Cricetulus griseus: one gene and its partners. The protein of the gene in region 2 purifies or fractionates together with the protein of the main gene of each other region. This does not show direct contact. Links are inferred from orthologs where the notes say so. Each region holds a gene or a part of one and is shown on either strand. Other genes may lie near its edges. The genes, in order: Kat2b, Mbip and Zzz3.

Region 1 (3,652 bases), on a different chromosome or scaffold from region 2:
CCAATGTTTTCAAGTTGACACCTTTGTGGCCTGGGAGAGGATCTTTTAGAACTTAGAACCTGCACAAGCAAAGGCAAATATGACATGGACACATATCTGCCAAGAATTATTAAATAGTGGTTGTGCACTCTCAAGCCTGTGAGGGGAAGACACTTATAAAAGTCCCCTCCTCAGGAGTCACAGCTGCTGCTGCTGCTGTGAAAGTTGCATTTTTCAGAACTGCTCAAAGCACCTCATCTAGATGAGTGTTTTAAAAAATATATATTCGTAAAAGGTCTACAGTGAGACTTCAAACATCACATAGTTCACCTTGACAGGCGTATTGTGGACCCTTTTCTTAAAGTCCTTCAGAATAAAATAATCTCTCATGTTCCATTAAAAAAAAAATGGAGACATTCATGGTCAAAATTTTCTCTAGATTCCCATAAATCCTGGTACTGTGTGCAATTTCCTCACAAACAGGTTTTGAGGAAGCCCCTGATCATCTACCATGCATTAGTCAGCTACTGGACATGCCAGAGAAAATTTACACGATAGTAGTAAATAAATTAAAATCTACTCCACAAAATAAAGTTTTCTATGATTTCCATTTAAATACGTCTCTAAAAAGCTAAAAGGAGGTTTTGTTTGTTTTTCAAAAGTGCTAATTATTACAAGTCTCTTCAACACATGATGTACAATTCTTAAAAACAAACAAAAACCCAAAACCTAAACCACCTGCTTTAGGCACACTGCTGATGAGTGTCTAAGGAAAAGAAATCACTTGTCAATCAACCCTGCTTCCTTAATTTTACTGAAGAAGAACTTCTCCAGGATGCTGGCACATTTATAGTACTCGCTCTCAGGAGGGTTGTACTCTTTGCAGTTGGTGAACACTCTCTGCAAGTCCGCCATGAATAATTTCTTAGACACATAGTACCTGTTCCTGAGACGTTCGCTCATGGTTTTCAGATCTGCACAGGAAACAACAACATTAGCAACTGTTGACTCCTCCTACACAACAGCTGACAATGTAAGGTGGGAAGAAATGTATGCTACTGATGTGCTTACATCTTTCTCACCCCAATGCCATGCTTACAAGAAATTCCATCGCATTAAGCAAAATAATTCTAAGTCTATTCTTCTGAAAAGGATTTTATATATAACACGTACCCACACTAACATTAAAAGGACCTAAGTACTTGTCTGCTCCCGTCTCTTACTGTGCACCAGGAGGCTAAGGAACAGTAGAGGTTACAGGGATGCTGATTGAGGCAGGCAGAACACTGGCACAGAATCTTTGATTGCTAAATTTATAGGTTGAGCTAGTTTTTACTAAAGCCACAAAGAAAGAGGCTAGTATCTTATTTGCAAATGCATCAGTAACCTGCACATAAAATACTAAAAGTAAAACAAATGAATTTTGCTCCAGGCTCTATCAATGAAGTCAAACTAACTTTTGACTTTCAACTTTACCAAATAATCATTTATTATTGTTTTAATTGTATAGATTGTTTCCGAGTATGTCTGTGTGCTATGTGCATGCCTGGTGCTCTTTAAGGTCAGTTAAGGGCATAGAATCCCCTAAAACTGGAATTACAAAGGGCTATAAGTGGCCATATGGGTGCTAGGAACCAAACCCAGATCTTGGAAGATCATTCAGTGATCTTAAGTGCTGAGCCATTGCTCCAGCCCAAAATAATCTGCACACACACATACCCCAGGTGGAACTCTGATGGGAAAACCTCATTAAGCAAGGTCACCAGGATACAGACTCCGAGGTATCTTTTGCTTTTGCTTCTGTTGTACCTTCACATATGCTACTACAATCTTTCCCTGGTAGCTGTGAGGAGTCTCCCTCTGCCTGTATTGTAGTGTGTTTATCTCATGAGTACATCCTAAAGTTTACAAGGACATATAACTGAACTGTCTGATTTATTGGGCTGGGTTGAAAGTGCAGAACAAACCGATTGTTGCACACACTTTCCTTGCTAGGTCTGGCTGATAACCAAAGACAATAGTTAATTCTCTGCACAAACCCTGACCTCAGTTTTCTGATACAGGTATGTTCCCTGAAGACTTAAAGCTCAGCCAACTGTTTTTATGTAGAAAAATATTGGGTCTTGGAATTGCACAGATGACAGGGAGCAAAAAGCTGAGGTCTAGAAACAGAAACAGCTTTTGTTCAGAAACACTACAGGGAAAGATATTCTACCTGGTCAGGGCTACAGAAAATAATTTGACTTTATAGCCCCAAGAAAGAGTTACAAGTTGTTTTTTGTTTGTTTGTTTTGTTTTGTTTTTATGGTCTAGAGTTACACGTAGGACAGAAAGTATATTTTCAGATTTAAAGTACTATTGGTCTCACAATGTCTTGGGAAGTTCCAGCTGAGCTGATGCTTAAAAGATTTAGGGTAACTCATGAATGTTGACCTGAGCCTGAACTAGAGAATTCACGACACCTGGAGAGTCTTTTTTTCTAAAATATGGCACTCTGAGAAATCTGATAAAACCCAGAATTTACGACTGCTGATTACAGAATGTTAGTCCAAAATGTTTATATAGTCATGGGTTAGTTTAAAATTGCCTTTCCCCTGCCTGGAAAAACCCAGGGCAAAGGACAAAATGGCCATCAGTTCTAATGACACTCAAAAGGTATAGGGCTGTTTTCTTACCTTCTTAGACTCTTCAGTAGTTTAGATTTATAAAATTCCTTATAAGATAAAATTCCTTATAAGAAGACTACCTCTCAAGATAAATAATAAAGTGACTGATTTTTTTACTTTACTACTGAAATTTGCAGCCTGCCAATAAAAGAGTTGACTAAAAAAATGTTCTTTCTTTGCTCTGTAATATGTTGCACATAAGTTGTCTAATAACTCTGCTTTTAATCGCTTAAGAAACAGAATATGACCCCTTCGTGATGCCTGTATTTAAGCCATTGGGGAGAGGGAACAAAGGAGAACAACATAAGAGAATAAAGAAAGGAATCGTTAAGAGAATAAGTGTTTGTTTTTTCCCCTAACCCCCGTCAGATGAAAAGGTCTTAGTTGGAGCCAACGCTGTGGATTTTCCCTTCGAGCCCTGTGCAGTCTTGCAGCTGGTCTCCCAGGCTGCCAAAGCCAATATTTGTCTCCCACATCACCACCCAGTTTTATATCTATACTGAGAAAATTGTAATAGCATTACCCATGGGGAACCTTATAACTTCATAATATCCTGGAGCTTCTGTTCTCTTCACGGGTTCCATGAAAGGCCAAGCACTTTGATGGCTCTTGAATAAAAGAAACAAAATAAGGTATCTAATATGGAAATGCCATGTGGAAAACCATTTCAAATGAGGTGCAGGACAGGTACCCACCTTCACCTGCTGCAGGATGTTCTTAAGGATGCTGTAAAGCTGCTCAGGGTCTTTGGGCTCTTTACTTGAAAGAAGAGAAAACAAAGAGGAAGGGTTAGTGCTCATGCTCCAGGCCTGATCACCACTCAGCTCAGCCTCTCAGGTCCCAGCCTAGGAACTGAAGCCCACCAATGCTATGTACCAATTACATCACTTGGCCCTTTTCCTAGAAAGTGCTGGAAGGGGGAAAATCACTTCCATTAACATCCTCTAGCCCGGCTTGCTTACCTTTTCTCTTTTCCACTTGGTTTCCAGCCTGTCTCTCCTATATGT
Region 2 (3,652 bases):
ATTATAGACTTCTGCTTTCTAAATATTGCTTATGCATCCCATATTGCTACAAGTTGTTTTACAAAATTCATTTTATGGGATACTGAATAGTTTCCGTATAGAAAGTGTTTCTAATAGATGTTGTAGTTACTTAGAAGGAAAAATACTGAAGTCACAAGATGACAGTTCCACTTGATGGCTGTGCTTATCCTATCATTCTCTTCAAATCCTATTTCTCCTAGCATGGTATATTTTCTCCTTTGACCTAGAAAAATGTTTAAAGGAGTTTTCCCATAATTCTCAATGACAGTTCTTTTAGAGGAGGGCGTGGTGTTTTAAAGATACTTAGACATCAAGTTCATTATTATATTTAGAATCTTTCTACTGTTTCAAGTATCATCCCTGAGACCTGCCTGGTCTAGACCACAGTCTCTCTGCTAAGTACTGAGTTTGCTATGCGTTTGAGAGCTCCAGAGAACTAGTAAAGAATTTTTAGCTGGGTACAAACAACATCAGATATGAGCTTGAAAAACAGCAATTTGGTCACAGGGTGAAAATGACCTAGTTGACCAACAGACCTATCACTCCAAGACAGAGATTACAGTAGTTTCATCTACAGCAGTAGCTGTGGAGGCAGAAGAAGAAACATGCAGGGACATTTAGGAGAATTAAGAGCATGGTAACTAAATGGGTAAGACTATTTGCTTCCTAGCTGTCACTTACTATAATATCCTGGGAGGCTGCCTGAGCTCTTTGGACTTCAGTCTTACTACCTTTCCAATAGTAATAGCACACACCTCCACAGAGTTCTGTTAATCACTAAGTTGATATAGGCACGGCACTTTCAGAGACAGTATTGTTCAAAAAATATGGGCTCATTTCCCCCAGGATACTTACTCATTTATGTGTTTATTGTCAGGAATGCACTGAAGACCAGGACCACATTTATCTACATTTTTGTAGCTGGCAGAAGGGCTAATAACAATTAGAGGTAGTCATACAAGTTCTGAAATTGGCCATAGCAACACATTACATTCATTTTTTGTTGGAACTTCAATAAACCGAGGCTAACAAAATCTATCTAGATCTGTTTCCCAATTTAGAAAGTGTCAAGAAGTATAAGAAGAGAAAGCATGAACACTGAGAACTTTACAGATTCCTCGACAGTAGCAACTGTTTTATGCACCTAGAACGAGGGCTTTACAGTGAATGTTTGGGGAAACTCCGGAAGCTAAATGAATCTAATTTCCTTAAGACTTGCAAAAGCACATTACAGAACATCACCTAACTCTCTACTTACCCGTCTGCAATCGCAAGTGGGCCTCAATATTCTGGAGTCGTTCTTCCACAGCCTGGTTGCCACAGTCTCGAAGCATGCCGGTAGGTTTGTGACCTGACCCTGGAATTCCTTCGGGTCTAGTCTGTGGTCCATATGTATTCACAACTCTAGAAACTAAGTTAAGAAACTTTTAAGCCTATGTGAATTTATGCTCCAAAAGCAGAAATTCTCTCTCCCTTACAGTATATCTTTTCCATAATGGTCACCTAACCAGAAGCTCAAAAAGGAAGAAAGGCAATGCCTTCGGTTTAGAATAAAGTTTAGATGGGAAAAGTATTTCTATTCCACGTTGTTATGAAGCTACAACAAACTTTTGCCAGTGACATATACTATACAGCAGCTACTTACCCTTTACGTGACTTTTAAATCCAGGATAAGGAGTAAAGACGGCATCAGTCCTTGCACAACTATTTTCTAGGGAGAATTTGGATGAATTTAGTTCAAATATATTCTTAACTAAAAATTATGAGATTATGATAAACTCCTAATAATTCATATTTTACTCATGGGAGAATTTTAAAGGACTAATAATTACATTACTATCACATACAGAATAATTTGGGTGGTCTTTATCCTCTGAATTGAATCACAAGTAATATTTTTATGTAACGTTCAGATATACATATAGAGAAACCATTAAGTGACAAAACTTCTGATAATTTTTAATAAAATGAGTTATTACTCAAAATTATTGGAGAAAATAATTCATATATTCTAGAGCCCCATATTCTAACTCCATTATATAAACAGAAGACAATTTACCAAATTATCTTTTAAAAATTTCAGCATTTTTGTTATTACCAAATTAGTGAACATATAACAGAGGGACTGATTGTATATTTTACAGTTTTTTTTTTTTTTTTTTTAGGTCTCAGAACTTTATAGACTTAAAAAGATCCTGAAGCCTCAAGTACAACACACACTGAAATCTCAAGCACAGCACACTTTCCCTCTGTTCCTAGATTTCCAATGTTTATTTTAAAAAGGCCAAACAAAAGGGCATCGCTCTCAATCCTACTTTTTATAAACTGTAATTTTAGAAAAGATACATTGTGAAAATTTTCCCAATATTTTTACCAAGGTGAAAACTACAATTTCTTTTCAATTATGTATGGACAAATAAGTTATAAGGAAAGAAAACAGGAATATGTTAACATACTCATACAATTAAATATTAGCACAATTGTAATATATGAATAATATATATTATATAATGCATTAACCTAGAAACATATGCTAATGCTTGAAGTAATAGTAAAGCTATACATTGGCAGTAAATTTTCTGTTAAATTTCCATAATTATTTGGTAAAAAAAAAAATGGGTGTAAAATGAGTTAAAGTCTTTTGTTATTTCATGAAATCTGATATGAAATCCGATTTTTAAAAACTAATTCTTTTTCTTAGACCAACTGAAAAGTCTTTAAAAATACAGTAACACATTATAATGTATTTTTTAAGCTTAAGTTTAACACATCTGTGATAAGTCAAACTGTAAATAAAATTACAAACCCTCTTAATCTTTTATATTTAAAGACTAAACAGACTCATTTTCTTTTCCTTGGAAACACCTCAAAATATATATAAGAGGCCTACACTTCTCTATTCTTTCTATCCTTTCACTGGTCTTAGGGTATTAAAAAAAAAAAAAGAAAAAAAAGGCTATGTTCCATTCCAGGGCTATATTCCAAATGCAGAGAGCCATCAGTGAGAAATGCAGCGTGGTGCGGGACAGTGAGTGCATGAGGCTAGTCGTTCTCCACAGCAATTCTTGCCAGCACTGTTTTGAGCCAGCAAGGGATTGAATGGGCTAAGGAATCCTGCTGAGCATTTCAATTCTTGCCAATTTCTATCCCCTGATGGTTTATAATAATAGAGTTAGCAGGAAGAACAGAGGAATAACATTAGTGACACATGCACTTGCTCCCTCAACAAACCCTTTCTCTTGAGGTGCACACAACTGATTGGTGCACCTGAGATTTTGCCACTGCCATACCTGTTCTGAAAGGCTAACTCTAGAGATCCACAGAAGTTAACAGTGGAAAAAGTGAGATTTAGAACCCAAAGTGAGCTTACGTTATTATGTTAAGAGTATCCTGTATCAATGTGATTGTGAGTCACTTCCAGGTTCAACTGACAATTCCATGCTCAGAATCACCAGCCAAAAGATATATTAAAGGCAGTAAGAAAAAGGTTAAGTGCAATTATGAACCTTTCTCCATATGTTTTTTCTAAGAACTATTTGTATTGGTCATTATAAGGATAACTGAGTAAGATCTATGGCAGTGCTACACAGTATATGGTGTTCTGTACACACTGTCCTATCAACCTAAGAGG
Region 3 (4,128 bases), on a different chromosome or scaffold from region 2:
ACTAAAACACTGATTAGTGTCCTTCATTCCCTAAAAAGGTTTTAGTACTATCCAACTACTGGGCTGTGATCATTGGGAAAGGACTAAAACTGTAGACATGCTGGAAGACTAACAAGGAGCACATTTTACAGCAAGTGTTTCCTGGTATTTCAATCTGTTGTAACTTGCATGGCCTGAGAGCCCACATCCTGAGCTTGCTAGAAACCCAGGTCTGTGTTTTGACACTTAGAACGGAAGGGGAAAAAGACAAGAAGGAAGAAAGAACTGCAGAGTATAAGGCCCTATGCAACCCATTCATCCATGCTGGCGTCTGGGAAACGCTGGTATCTCTGCACTCAAGGCAGTGGCCTAATAATTCAATCACCAAGTTGCAAACCAAATTAGATACATAATTCTCCTTAATATTTTATTAAATCATAATGATTAAAACAACACATTATAAATCAGATCATGATCACTTCGGCTAAAGAAGCACCAAACAGCAGTTTATAAAATTATCTTAATACACGTAAAGTAAAAACCTAATCAAAGTATGAAGGCCAAGTACAACAAATCTTTGTTACGTATTTTCTTCCTTTTTCCTATTTTTGCATAAGCATACATGAAGTATACGTATGTTTAACAATTATATAAGATAAACTGAATATAAAGCCATTCATCAATAAGGGACTTTTAATGAAGTATGTCTACATTATTCCAACCAAATTTCAATATTGTTGTACCAAGCTTATTTATTTAGCAAAGAAGTACAAACTAAAGCTGTTATTTTCTTCATTTTAACTAAATACAAAGTCACTAAAAAATCCAGTGAGGTTTGGGCATATAATTGTATGCTTGCCAAACATGAAGTAGTTACGGCAATAGAATGGAACCCATTTATTTGCCAACTAGCCCAGGATACCTTTACTGATAAACTAAAATAAGAGACAACTGGTGACAGCCTTAGCCACACCCATTTGGTAAAAGACACTTAGAATTAAGGGAAACCCTGAGTTCACATTTTAGTAATGAGACTGATGCTGTCCTATGCTACCCACCAATTACTGAGCAGCAGTGTTTCTGGGGGACAGTGAGAGTATGAACCTCACTAGAATTAAGCACACTTTGTCCTGCATTCTCCATCCTCCTAAGTCTTCTTACAGAATGAAAAGGGCCAACCAACCAAACTTCTTCAGCTTGTCCACAGAGTTCCCAAGCTGCCCTCAATCCATACATCCAAACTCTTATCAGCCCTTCCACTGAACCACCTTCCCCTAAACTGGAATCTACCTTTATAAACCTGTAAAGTCCTGAAACATTATCATAAACCTCTAACCCGTGACCACACCCACACAACTCAATCAGAACCAAAAGAAACAGGACAGACAAAGGCCCACCCACTAGAAACAATGCACGATGCCGCTGCATTTTTACTCAAAGGCTATCTCTAATCCAGTACCTGTAATCTCTGGCTCCTTTTCTACTCACCAAAAGTGTCCCAGTTTACTTTAGGAATTGAGGAGTTGGTAACTAATATCAGTATTATATTATTTTTATATTTTGGGGTTTTTGTTTTGTATTTTTGAGACAGAGTCTTGATATGTAGCCCTGGAACTCACTATGTAGACCAGGCTGGCCTCCTGCTCACAGAGATCCTGCCTCTGCCTCTGGAGTGCTGGGATTAAAGGCATGCGCCACCATGCTCAGCTAACACCGTTTTTTGTTGTTGGGGGGGAGGGGGAGACAGGGTTTCTCTGTGTAGCTTTGAAGCCTGTCCTGGAATGTGCTCTGTAGACCAGGCTGATGTTGAACTCACAGAGATCCTCCTGCCTCTGCCTCCCAAGTGCTAGGATTAAAGGTGTGCACCACCAACGCCTGACTAACACCAGTATTATTATCATCGTATCAGTTTTACTAAGTGAACAGCTTCAAGAAAACTGGTCACAATACCCATATATTTTCAGGTGTAAAGACCAAAATCAAAGGCAAAACCATGTCAGAGTAACTGAGAGGTGTCACCAATATGACTTTCCTACCTGTCTATAGCATAAGCTGTGCTCAGGCTTAGTTTATCATACAAGTCTCTGAGATGTCTTTTGAGACAGGGTCTTACTATGCAGCCCTGGATGGCCTGGCCCTAAAACTCTCTCCCGCATCCCTGATGGTGGGATTACAGGTGCGCATTGTCACACAGCTAGTCATACAACTCTTTTAAAAGACAGATTATTTCAACTGTACAATTATCAATCTAGTGTAACAGAACAACGCCTGACCTTATCCACTGGATTATTGAAAGGTTAACAGTCCCAGATCAGAAGTCTAGAATTCTATCATGCAGTTATATGTAAAGGATCTCCTTTGTCATCAAGAGAGATACAAGAGATGACTGACAAACAGACAGAGAGCTATATAGAAAGACAGACAGGACAGATTCAAATGAATGCACACTGAAGACAACTGAGAAGAAGTGAAAGAGGGGTCACATGCCCCTTAAACACGTTTAAGGCAAAGACAGGTTTAATGGTCTAAAGATACCAACAGTCATTTCCTTCATCCATTTGTTGAGAAGAAAGAAATGGAAACGTATTTAATCTTCAGCCCATCTCCTACAGCTTGAGATCACCATAAAACAGCAAGGCAGAAGAAGAAAGACGGAAAATAACATGTCTCCTCCCACCCAAGTAAACAAAATCAAACTACCGTTGTCATCTCTGCTGCACAGTTGAGTAACTTACCTGTGTAACCAGAGATCTATCATTGTGGAAATAGTCTTTCTTTTCTTATATCCGCAAGGAGATGAAGCTATGATCTACAACAGAGCTTAAGCTTCAGGCTCTCAGCTTCAGCCTCGGAGACTATAGAAACTCTTAACCGCCTCTCTTTAAAATGGTAAAAACAAAAAAACAAAAACAACAACAAAAAAAAATATTAAATAAGGAAATTAACTCAGCTAGTAATTTACTCTGATTACAGAAGCACACAGTGTCTTCACAGGGATGTTTTGGTGCTTCCTGCTAAGTGGTCTCAGGGGCACTAAGCAACCAGGACAGAAATGAAGAAACTTGAAATATAACAAATCCTTACAAACAACTCAGTTATTAACTTGAGTAAAACATGACTCAGCCCTTTCTTGCAACTTGCTGTAATCTAAGTCCCCCAGCCCCTCCCTGGCTTAAAGATGACCTAGAGGATTTCTGAAGGATTTCCTAGATTTAAAACTGAGTACAAAACCTAGGGCCTAACAACAACCAGCAGACTAAGCACACAGCTTAACTCCTCTGTATCACAGCACACATGACACACTGAAGACTCAGCTGCCCTTGAAGCTTCTGGTGCTTTCTGCCACATGTATTTTTTTTTCCTCCTCCTCCCTCCCTCTCTGTCTCTCTCCTCTCCACCCACCCCCTTCGTGGTTTTTTGTTTTTGAGACAAGGTCTCCCTACGCAGCCCTGGCTGTCCTAGAACTAACTGTATAATCAAGCTGACTTTAAACTCAGTGACCTTCCAAGCGAGGGGATTAAAGGTGTGCACTACCACGCCCAGCCATATAGACTCTCAACGAGAAAAAAGCAATAGTGAGATGAATGGGATTCATATGTGTGATGTGAAATCCACAAAGAATCAATAATGTTTTCGGAGCTAAATACTCAGTCTGGTATTTTAATTAACTTAATTACATGCTAATTCTTGGCATGTTTATAGCTAACTGCAGTTTTACCAGCATGGTATGGCATCTTTTTTGGAAACTATATACTCTAGCTACCTGGGTTATTAGGAGTGGCCATCTGCAATAACAGCACTACAAGAAAGACAAGCAGACGCTTATCATTAACCTTGCTCCTTTTTTCTAAGCATTAAACTAGGTATTTTTAAATGGATACTATTTAAGTGGGGTATTATAAATTAAGGGCTGGTGTAATCATCAACTCTTTAACCCAGCATTCTATCTAGTAAAAAATGAACAGATTACTGTTAAAGGTGATGTGCTGCCTACTTAGGTATAGCCAACAGAATCTAAGTAAGTATTACAATGATTCAATGCCTGCTATACTTATTTTAATGCACGTAAGATTTTTTTTGTCACTGTAAATGCTATAGTATTTTGCTGGTTTTTGTTTTGTTGAGACAGGGTCTCCCTATGTAGCCCAG

The links.
Region 1: the proteins of Mbip (region 2) and Kat2b purify together in Homo sapiens (affinity purification with mass spectrometry; 4 studies listed by BioGRID and IntAct, counting the BioPlex papers as one, with this or other methods). This does not show direct contact. The link is inferred for Cricetulus griseus from reciprocal best matches to the Homo sapiens genes MBIP and KAT2B.
Region 3: the proteins of Mbip (region 2) and Zzz3 purify together in Homo sapiens (affinity purification with mass spectrometry; 4 studies listed by BioGRID and IntAct, counting the BioPlex papers as one, with this or other methods). This does not show direct contact. The link is inferred for Cricetulus griseus from reciprocal best matches to the Homo sapiens genes MBIP and ZZZ3.

The regions. Positions count from the first base shown.
Region 1 is NW_023276806.1:249,614,340-249,617,991, forward strand, and holds part of Kat2b (histone acetyltransferase KAT2B), read right to left. Parts: intron 3,645-3,652; coding exon 3,608-3,644; intron 3,405-3,607; coding exon 3,341-3,404; intron 3,254-3,340; coding exon 3,169-3,253; intron 954-3,168; coding exon 760-953; 3' UTR 1-759. UniProt on the Homo sapiens protein: Functions as a histone acetyltransferase (HAT) to promote transcriptional activation. Has significant histone acetyltransferase activity with core histones (H3 and H4), and also with nucleosome core particles.
Region 2 is NC_048598.1:146,092,630-146,096,281, reverse strand, and holds part of Mbip (MAP3K12-binding inhibitory protein 1), read right to left. Parts: intron 1,733-3,652; coding exon 1,667-1,732; intron 1,433-1,666; coding exon 1,280-1,432; intron 955-1,279; coding exon of another isoform or gene 929-954; exon of another isoform or gene 1-928. UniProt on the Homo sapiens protein: Inhibits the MAP3K12 activity to induce the activation of the JNK/SAPK pathway. Component of the ATAC complex, a complex with histone acetyltransferase activity on histones H3 and H4.
Region 3 is NW_023276806.1:6,917,235-6,921,362, forward strand, and holds the start of Zzz3 (ZZ-type zinc finger-containing protein 3), read right to left. Parts: upstream 2,853-4,128; 5' UTR 2,738-2,852; coding exon of another isoform or gene 2,715-2,737; intron 1-2,714.